2 linked regions of the Drosophila melanogaster genome follow. The protein of the gene in region 2 interacts with the protein of the main gene of each other region in a pairwise test. Each region holds a gene or a part of one and is shown on either strand. Other genes may lie near its edges.

What was found. Proteins that work in one complex are often made in the same cells at the same time.
Region 1: the proteins of CG3598 (region 2) and PGAP3 interact in a two-hybrid assay, tested with the Drosophila melanogaster proteins (one large-scale study listed by BioGRID).

Annotation. Positions count from the first base shown.
Region 1 is NT_033778.4:6,671,621-6,675,870, reverse strand, and holds PGAP3 (Post-GPI attachment to proteins 3), read right to left. Parts: upstream 2,268-4,250; 5' UTR 2,190-2,267; coding exon 2,054-2,189; intron 1,998-2,053; coding exon 1,681-1,997; intron 1,611-1,680; coding exon 1,144-1,610; coding exon of another isoform or gene 1,091-1,143; coding exon 1,018-1,090; 3' UTR 810-1,017; downstream 1-809. Other genes in the region: CG17266 (uncharacterized protein), read left to right, coding at 181-264, 331-798; Hsepi (heparan sulfate C5-epimerase), read left to right, coding at 2,830-2,928, 2,985-4,250. UniProt on the Drosophila melanogaster protein: Involved in the lipid remodeling steps of GPI-anchor maturation.
Region 2 is NC_004354.4:2,933,987-2,940,147, reverse strand, and holds CG3598 (uncharacterized protein), read right to left. Parts: upstream 3,122-6,161; 5' UTR 3,021-3,121; coding exon 2,202-3,020; 3' UTR 2,075-2,201; downstream 1-2,074. Other genes in the region: CG14420 (uncharacterized protein), read right to left, coding at 1-493, 596-665; CG3592 (uncharacterized protein), read right to left, coding at 4,229-4,978.

The DNA of each region.
Region 1 (4,250 bases), on a different chromosome or scaffold from region 2:
CAAAATATAAACAAGCACTTGGCACACGTGTGCTATCGATATAACCGGCTTGTGATGCTATCGACTTGTCGTGCATCGTCATCGAACCATCGTAATAAACATAAACAAAAATCTGCCGGCTTAGTAAAATCTTAATCTTGACTTGTTAGAAAGTTTATAAACAAATAAAATAATTTTAAAATGCCTAACTGGAATCAAATACAGTCCCAACTGAGAAGCTCCAACAATCCCGTCGTTTTCTTCGACATTGCCGTAGGCACAACGGTGAGCTGAAAACAATCTAGTCATAATCTGTACATAACTCCGCCTTCTAACGCCTTTTGTGTGCAGGAAATCGGACGAATGATATTCGAACTCTTTGCGGACACAGTGCCCCGCACGGCGGAAAACTTCCGGCAGTTCTGCACGGGCGAGTACCGACCGGATGGCGTTCCCATTGGCTACAAAGGCGCCAGTTTCCATCGGGTGATCAAGGACTTCATGATCCAGGGCGGCGACTTTGTGCAGGGCGACGGCACCGGCGTGACCAGCATATACGGCAACACCTTCGGCGACGAGAACTTTACCCTGAAGCACGACTCGCCCGGCCTCCTTTCCATGGCAAACAGTGGCAAGGAGACGAACGGCTGCCAATTCTTTATCACCTGCGCCAAGTGCAACTTTTTAGACGGAAAGCACGTGGTGTTCGGTCGGGTTCTGGATGGACTGCTCATCATGCGCAAGATCGAGAACGTGCCCACGGGCCCCAATAACAAGCCGAAGCTCCCAGTGACCATTTCGCAGTGCGGGCAAATGTAGCACGGAGTTCTAAATGTTGTAATAAAGTCTCTATTATGTCTTTTTAAACGAAGCTATTAGTTTTCCTGCCGTTCTGGTTACTGTCAAAGGATGTTTTCGCTTTGACATTCAATAAAATACATTACATGTTTTCGCTCTGTTACAAATTACATGAAATATGTCAGAAAAATTGCCAGATAGCTTTGCGTGCTTTAAGGGCTAAGAATAACTTAGATAATACTAATTGTAGAATGAATAGCCGCCCGCCGCAGCCTTCTCCTTTCGCAGGGTTCGACAGTCCTCTATCATGAAGCTAAAATGCAAACACATGTAGCAATATTAGAATAAAGTAATATTTCTACGCACTCATAGTATAGGGATGCCAGAGGAATTGTTGCCAAGTGCCACAGAGCATGAGCATCCAGAATCCAGAGGATGGGCGGAAAGTCAAGCAGTTCAAGGCTCATAGCCAACGCCATGAGAATATAGAAACGCAGGATCCTTCTAAAGTAGGGCCTGCGGGTGCGCACAAAGTGACACCAAACGAACCATCCCACTGCCGCTATAACTCCCGTAGCCACGTTTACCATCATGTTGAACGCATAGTTGAACCGTCCCACGCTCAGGTAGGCAAAGTAGTTAATGTAGTAGGAGAGGAATGCCAACGTGATAACACCCCGTAGGAACAGCGAGTAGCGGTGCAGCATCCGCATGACCATGACGTAAAGTGAGCACAAGATGATGGAATAGGCAAAGGCGTAGTCCAGCAGCTCGGTCAGTGGAAAGTCCCTTGTGTGAAAGATGGCGGACCAGATCCAGCCGTTGAGACTCGTCTGGAAGAGTAAGGATCGAGGGAACTTAGTATAACGACTTTATTGGCTGATCGTGTAAATAAAGGCATACCACTGCGAATATGTGGGTCAGCATATAGCAGGGACTGTCCGGACGCACTTCTCGGCGGAACTTGCGTAACAAGCGCAGGTGAACGACAAAATTCAGGCAGGAGAAGATAACTGAGGCCGGCTCCTGCATGCCCAGCAGGCGGAGAAAGGGCCACTTGCCGTAGAACTGGGGAATCGGCCAACCGCGTTCAAAGAAGGCGAACACCGTTCGCCACATGCATCCATACTGACACTCGTCCGCGCAGCTCCACTGGAAGAGCCGGTCAAACACCGACTGCTGGTAAAACTTGACTGCCTGCTCCTGGATCTCCAGTCCATCTGCCAATGGAAGCTTGCTCTTAAGACTTGCAATTAAAGTGGATAGCACTTCTCACCTGCCGAGCAGTTCGTTCGCTCGCAGTTCTGTCGGCAATTGTGAAAAAACTGTGTGCGGTCGCCGTTGGAGGCGAGGCAGGCGGTCACTAACGCCCCAAGGAGCAAGACTATTGCACTTAAACTACGACTAGACATTACTAAAACTAGTTAAACGCGCCTTCTCACCGACATCCACCCGAAATATTTTGTAAACATTGCACTATTGATTAATCGCCGTCGTGTTGATGCTATCGGTTCGTCGATAGTTGTCAGCATGCGTATGGGAACATTTGAAAATACCAATGAATTTATAAATAAAAGTTCATTTTCAACCAAAGGAGGAATATAAACTATTTAAACTCGAAAATTAAACTATTTAAATTACTTAGCTACAGAAGTAACGATGCACACGGTTAATGCTTGTTATCGATAGCTTACGTGCATAGGCCGCCCAAGAGCGACCATTTGTCATATGTCAAAACATTTGCTCATCTGTATCGCAGTTTCTGTGTTTTCGCAGTGTTCGCCCATTAAAGCGAGAAGAGCAGCGCAAATCTAAGCAAAATATGCTTAGTGAGAACTGGATGCACTTGAAATATCAACTTTGGATGGCCCTGGACTGAACTCAGAGGGCTACAGGCTCGGCAGGTGGAATTTTAGACAGAGACAGTGAAAGAGACGTACGCGTACTGGTGCACCATTATCATCGTCAGCAATGCATCTGCCAGATGAATGCAGTTTTAAATTTAGAGCATGACTCACCTAGAAGCCAGTTAGAGAGTTCGCCCCCAACCGAATGTCCAAATATCTAAGCAGTCAGAGAGATGCCCTTTCCGCACCCGCGCTTCCAGTAAGCAGGGAAAACCGGGAGCCACCTAAATTCCAAGGGGTAAAGGTAACAATGTCTATTTCGTCGTGTTATCAGTTGGCTAATCTTAGAATTTTCTTTAGCAACGCGAGCCACTGGTCTTTTTCATCATGCGACTGAACCTAAAAGCCGTGCTGCTTGTCCTCACAGTGGCTGTGGTGGTAATCACTCTGGGCGTGTATATGCGCTGCGCCGCCTTCTCCTTTTCGCCGGACTTTGTGCGTCCTCTGGACCGGTCCGCAAGGCAGTCCTCCAGCGGAGGAGAAGCTACAGCGCTGCACGACATTGAGTGCTCCATTAACCAGGAGTACACCGTGCACTGCAAGCGAGACGAGAACGCCAACGAGGTTTACGTTCCGTTTTCCTTCCTGCGTAACTACTTCGACGTCAGTGGAGCAGTTTCCACCAACAGCAATGAGGTGGCCAAGTTCAACTGGGTGCACAGCACAGCCAAAGTTAACCTTCCCAGGGGAAAGTACGATGCGCGCGGCGTCTATATGTACTTTGAGAACTACAACGTGGAAGTGCGCGACCGGGTAAAGTGCATCAGTGCCGCGGAGGGCGTTCCAGTGAGCACGCAATGGGAGAAGCGTGGGTACTTTTACCCCACACAAATTGCCCAGTTCGCGTTGTCGCACTACAGCAAGAACCTCACAGAGCCGGCACCCAGGGTTCGCGTGTTGGAGGACGGCGACGGGAACCAGATGGAATGGAGTACGCCCAAGACCAGCAACATGACCCGCATCTGGCACCACAAGTTTAACACCAGTGTTGTCCAGTTCGAGACGGCACCTGGTTACGAAGGCGTCATCAGCATTGCTCTAAACCAGACATTGGATCTTCTGCTCAGCGTTGATCTGCTCCTGGTAACCAATAGCAGTAGTCTCATGATTACCGTTCAGAATCGGGACACCCGTCACAACTACAGCCTGCACTACATACCCGCAGATCTGCTGCTGAGCGTGCAGGATACAAACATCTACTACGGTCTGGGAGGCTCGGCACTGAACAAGTGGCGCCACATCACTCGAGACCTGCACATTGACCTTCAAAAGGGCATCATGGGTGACAAACGCTCGCCGCTAAAGATACGGCGCTCCGATCTGGAGGTAATATCTATTGGCTTTCTGGGCCTTGGCTTCTTCGACAATATCACCTTGTCCACCAGTGACCATCTGGCTCACTTCTACGACGCGGCTGAGTGGTTCGTCCACAACCAGGACCCCAAGACGGGTGGCTGGACCAATCCTGTGCGTCGCAGCCTCAACGGCTTTGCCGAATTGCGTCCGGGGTGGATATCAGCCATGGGCCAGGGACACGCTATTTCAGTGCTGGCACGAGCCTACTGG
Region 2 (6,161 bases):
TGTTCCTGCTGGAACTGGCGCCACTGGAGTTCCGAGGGGCGGACCAACGAGCCGGACTCTGAGGACTGCTGCACGGCATTGCTATTGCCACCGGCGGAAGGAGCGGCCACAAAGTAGCTCTCCTCATCGTCGTCATCATCTTCGTCCTCCAGGCTGTCATCACCTTCGTCTTCTTCATCTTCAAACGCCCTGGGCATCTCCTCATCATCTTCCTCAACATCGTCTTGAATTGCGGGGAAGGCACGACCGGTGGTGGTGTCGGAGGTTGTGGGCGTCGTGGTGCTCGTCGAGGTGCCAGTGGACGTTGTTGGTGCAGTCGGCGTGGTCGTCTCCGTAGTGGAGGTGGGCGTGGTGGTGGTAGTGGGGGCAACCGTGGTCGTCGTGGTGGTGCCCTTCAGAGATGTCAGCTTGTTGGCAATCGACGAGGTGAAGCGGGCCTCCATCTGAGCGTCGGAGGCGCGTCCACCCAGGCGGTACACATTGCGGCGTTCGGCTGAGATAAAATATTTTAAAATTATACGAAATATTTAAGGAACATATAAAGAAAGTAGTTGTGACTTGACTGACGACTTTCTGTTAATATTTGAGGACTCACCCAAGGTAGTGGATGGGGCTAAGAGGGCGCAAAGGGCCACAGCCAGACTCAGTTGAAGCAGGCAATGCATTCTGCAGATGGATTCTCCTTATCGGGATAATCGGCTTCCTTGACTGTGGATCGAGGGTTCCTAACTCACTTGTTGTCTTTGAGTTTTCACTCACAACTGACTGACAACTGATGGACTGACCCGGGATTTTATACCCACTTGGAGCTCATACAGCTGATCGATGGCTATCATCCGCCCCGCATCCCCATTTCCTTTCAGTTCCCACTTCTTGGCCAGCTCTATTAGCAAAAGTTCGCCCGGGGTCAAAGTGAACCGGGTCGCGGGTCAGAGGCGTACGAATTTTATGCTAATTTCCCATCTCTTTTGCCAAAACCATTCTTCTATCCATCGCCGAGTAGCCGATGATTGATTGACGTCAAGCCGAGATTGACCCACGGAATCTGGCTTACACAGATGTTCTGGGATGTCAGTTCTCTGCTTGCTTCAGCTCACTCAGTGCTCGGCATTTCCACACCAAAGAATGGAGTACTCAACTGAAGTCTCCAAATTCGTTTCGAAAAAATCAAAACTTAATGAAATCTCAAAATTTATAATTTACAAAGGGTTCGCGATTTATTGCATAGTTCGGAGGCAAATCTTTTCTTGACAACGATTCCAAAATATGTGCTTATCTATTTTTGTATGTTTGCTCTCCCAAAAACAATGACAAAATATAATCAGAATGCGACATCAAATTATTTCAATAAATATATATTTTAATTTTCCATATAACATTTGTATTGTACATACTGTTATTGTGTAATTATTTCGTGACTTTTTAAAACTTTCATTTGATTAATATATATATTTGGATAAGACCAAAAGTATCTTTGGTTCCAATATACGACAATCAAATGAATTTTATCTCTAAACGGTTATTTTTCGGTAGTACCTATTTTGTTGGCCAAACGATTAGCAAAAATAGTTTACTACGAAACTTTTACAGTTCTATAGAGATGTTCTCAAATGAGTTTCTCTACCATTGTTTGTATATATGTGTGTACCATCTGATTTTCGGATCCTTTATCATACAAAATTTGCAGTTATTAATTCATATATCATACTTTTGATAGCCTATGGGCATTAAGTGACTTATAACTAAGGTTGTGTCGAAGTTAAAGGATAAACTGGAATAAAGCTGAACCATGATACAAATAAACTCCATGATAAATGCAAATTTTTCTATCAATGGAGCTAAGCAGTGATCTATTTTGAGGCAAAGCAATCTTATGTATCTTATACACTGCTAGGAAATGGTACACCATATATGATAAATAAATAATAAAGTTATACAAGTAGTATACGATGTTTTACGGCAAAACCTTTAAAATAAGTTTCAACTTAATGATTCAAAACCATAGTCTTTGCATGTTGGTTAATTTCACATCATAATTTCACCACCCATAAAAAATACGAAAAAAAATATTTATAATTTTCATATCACATTTTATTTGTCGCATCGTCATCAAGTGTCTCAAATTTCTTGTCCTGATCGTTAGGGGATCTTAACTATAATACTATATAGAAATGGGGCTAGGACGACCTTCGTTTCGTGTCTCAACCCTGGAATACGACCTGTCCGCGGCGCCTCTGGTTGCCACGCCTACGGTTGCCGCCTTGGGGGCGAATGACGCGTACATTGCGCCTGCGGTTGCCACCCACTCGGCGACGCCTTTGGGCGGGGCGGCGGCGTCGGATATTGTTGTTGTTGATGCCGCGGCGGCGAATGTTCCTGCGTCCGTTGTTCTTGCGGCGACGAACTACCACGCGGTTGGCGCGCTCTTCCTCGATTTCATCAACGGATGAGGCGGATCGCTCCATAAGAGCCACCACCGCGCCATCGGGAATGGCGTCTAGGGCGGCACGAGGCACTAGGAGAGCCGCCTTGCCGGTCTTCTCGTCCAGAACACTCTGACCCTCGATCTCGATAATGCCATCGGGCACCATAATGGCACCAGCCTGATCCCGGTTAACCATCATCTGCTTCTTGGGCAGCTCATCCTGAACGTGATCCTGCTCCTGATCCTGATCATCGTCCTGTTCGTCATCAGCGTGGTTCTGCCTGTAAGCCAGACCGCTGCGGGCAAAGTTCAGGCCCAGCTGATGCTCCAGTTCCTCGTCATCCTCCGTCTCGTCATCGTGCTGGTCCTCATCATGTAGATCATCATCTTCCTCCTCGACAATTTCGAAGCCCTGGACGACGGCGCCGGCGTTGGCCCGACCCTTGGGAATTGACAGGAAGAGGTAGGGATGCTGCTGCGCCCTTTGACCCTGCACCTGATTGCGCCCCTGAACGTGCTGAAGGCGTGGCTCGGCCAAGGCCACGGCCACAAACAGGCACAAGCCCACCAACAAGATAGCACCCAGCTTGGACATCTTGTTTTTTTTTTTTTTTTTTGAAGATTTCTCGACGTAAAGTGCACAGAAATTAAAGATTTACTGCCGACCGGATCCTAATTGTAAGCAAGGCCCAAACAGAACTGTACGATCTGTGGCGGCGGCATTAGGTTTTTATGCGAAAAAGTTCTGGCCAAAAATCCAGAATCCATAATCTAGAACCCATAGAAACCGAGAAGAGAGAGCCCACTCAGGCCACAAGAACATTGGTCATAATTGCGGTCGATGTCGGCATAATTTCAAGTGGCGAAATTTTGTGGAAGAAATGTAGAAAATGGTGAAAAATAGAATTAGAAACGAATGTCAGTGACCCGCCGGTGGGACAAAAGAAAGAGCGCTGAATAAATCAGCAGCCGCCGAATCAAAAAGTCGAAGATCACCAAAAACACCAAAGGCCCAAAAAAAAAAAAAAGCGCCGCGGTCATGCTAATGACAAAACAATCAGAGACACGCACAAATCTCGGCATCCCAAGAGACCGAGAAACCCGAGAAGTCAAGGGCCGATCCGAACCTATGATGGACCTGCTCTCGGAGTCAGCGACGCATGCGAAGTGGTCGTATCCCATCCCCGGCCACCGGTCATATACCCAATGACCAATGTGAATATCGATGAAAGGGGTGTATGGTATAGGGGGCAAATGTGTATTCCAGCATCGCTGATTGATCGAGCCACGTTGGGATGGAATTATGCCTTTGTCCCGTGATTAATATGCCAGCCAAGAGGCTTCTTATGCGTGGAAATGGCCAATTGTACAGGTGAAAGACTGAAGGTTGGCCAATATTTCACATGCGAGCCCTCTGTAATTTTACTGTTTTCTTTAGTCGTGCAATAAATCTACAATTTTTGACACGGAATTTATTATTTCTTAATTAAACAATGTTGAAACTTGTTTAAAATCTTAGGCATACTGCAATATGACCAAATAGCAAGCATAGATATTAAAGTGTTTTTGTTTTCCAAGGGATTTCTCAGTTGAAAGTCAGAAAGTATGCTAATGTTTCTTTCGAAATTGATTAACAAACTTCACTTGATCTTCCAAATATTTGCTGTCATGCTGAATAGAATTCCTATAAATGTAATTTTTGTGTGATTTACTTTTTTATATGGTAGGGCTTAGAAAATATAAACATTTTGCAATTGCCTTCAGCACTTCAATTTAATTATTCACAATGCTTGGTCATAAAATTTAATTGTGAAGGTGATCAATTTTCAATCCGATGGCTTTGAACCAGCTGTTGGGTAGCAAATGGACAATGTCTCTACAGAGGCAGAGGAACTCGTAGCTAACCACTGAAATGGTGGCGGCCAGCGTGGAGATCCTGAGCCTTTTAATTTTCCAACTACTCCACTCCCGTCGTGCGAATCCCAAATTGAGGGCGAACCACTGACTGCACGAGAGGAGCACAAAGCCACACAAGCCCATCAATCGGTGGATGACGTGCAGAGCCAGGTGGGTGAAGCACACCAGGGCGAAACCACTGGCCACGGCCCCAGCGATAAGCAGGAATCCCAAAAGGCCACACAATCCATGTTTGGAATTAAAGTGCGGCTCATGTATCTTGCTCTTGAAGATACTCTTCGCGAATATCCCCACCAGTCCCAGCCAAAGTCCCACCATTCCCAATACCATGTGCAGAAGGTTGAGCCGGTTTTCGGAGATGAAGTCTCCTAACCACCAGGAGTGGCATACCAACAGAGATTCACCCACGCATAGAAACAGTCCCAAAATGGCGTATAGGGCATGCTGGCCGCTGCTGTGGTCATCCAAACCCGAGGTCTTTTTGACCATCACCACGGTTATTACGATCAGCAGGATGTGGGCCAAAAGCTCCAGAATGATCCTGTAGAGGTTCACCTCGAAAACGGCTACCAAAAGTGGCCATGCGAACTCATAGAAAACCAATTTTGCAGTGGTTGCGTTCTCCCCTTGACTCATTTCCAGATTTGAGTTTTTTTTTTTTTACCTCACAGCTTTTAGATATAAAAGTGATATTGCAGTCATGGCCATTCTGACTAATTTAAACTAATTATTATTTGCAAATAGTTTGGATAATAATATGAGTGTTCAAATGCAATATTTGCCTCGGTCCTTTAACCATTTTTTATAGCTGCCCACTGGAAACTGGAATATATTTACCAAAGTCAATTCTATATTCTTAAATTTCTATTCATTTCGCTTTTTATTAATTTTCAACAGGTTGAAATTCATCGGCAAAAATTTAAAAAGATCAAAGAAGTATTTTTAGAAAATAGAATAGTTTATTCCCTCCAGCAATTTAGGAACTGTGCCTTTAATATATACCGATATTATCTCATTTCATAAATATTCATAGTGAAATATAATTTCCAAAATGTTAGATCATTTTGTAATGCCTAAAAAAGACTTTTAACTTTCCAAGTTCGAAGAGTACAGAGTTTAGTAACTGTTTTTTTTTTTTTAATCTAGATCTGGAAATTGGTTTCAAAGTTTGTGGGAACGCATAAATTAATTTTTGTTTTTGTGGTCTTCAATTTTTAACTCTTACTAACTGTTGGGCCAAATTGGGTCATCCAAAAATTAGCATATATGTATGTTGTATATAAATTCGCTAAACGGTCTTAAATATATTTCATAAATCCGCTAATTTGAAATCGATTTTCTCCCCCCAAAAAAATGAAATCCACAAGCACTTGGGTCAATTTTATGCAAACTTATTTTATTCAAGACATTCAAGAAGTCACAGTAAAATCCGCTTGGCAACAGGCTGCGGAAACTGCTGCGAAAAATTTCTAAAATAAAAGAAACGCAAACTTAATTTCCATAAGAATGTGCCGCAGGAGAAGTTCAACGGGGTCAGGCCTCAAAGATTCATATTCAAACGAGGCAACGGCACAAAGAAAGCTGCTGTCCAGTTTTGGTTTTTCAGTTTTTGTCCAACTCCGGCAGCTGGCTAATAAATTGGCCTAAGTCCGAATTATGGGCTGGGCCCAATTGAGTTGAAAGTTCATTGCCCGTTCTTTGGCTCTTCTCAGGCTTTAATTATATGGCCAAAACCGATTCGGCAGGTGCTGACCTTTGCCTGGGGCGGGGGGGAATTTATGACCAAATATCTGCACACACGCCTAAATTGAAGAATACA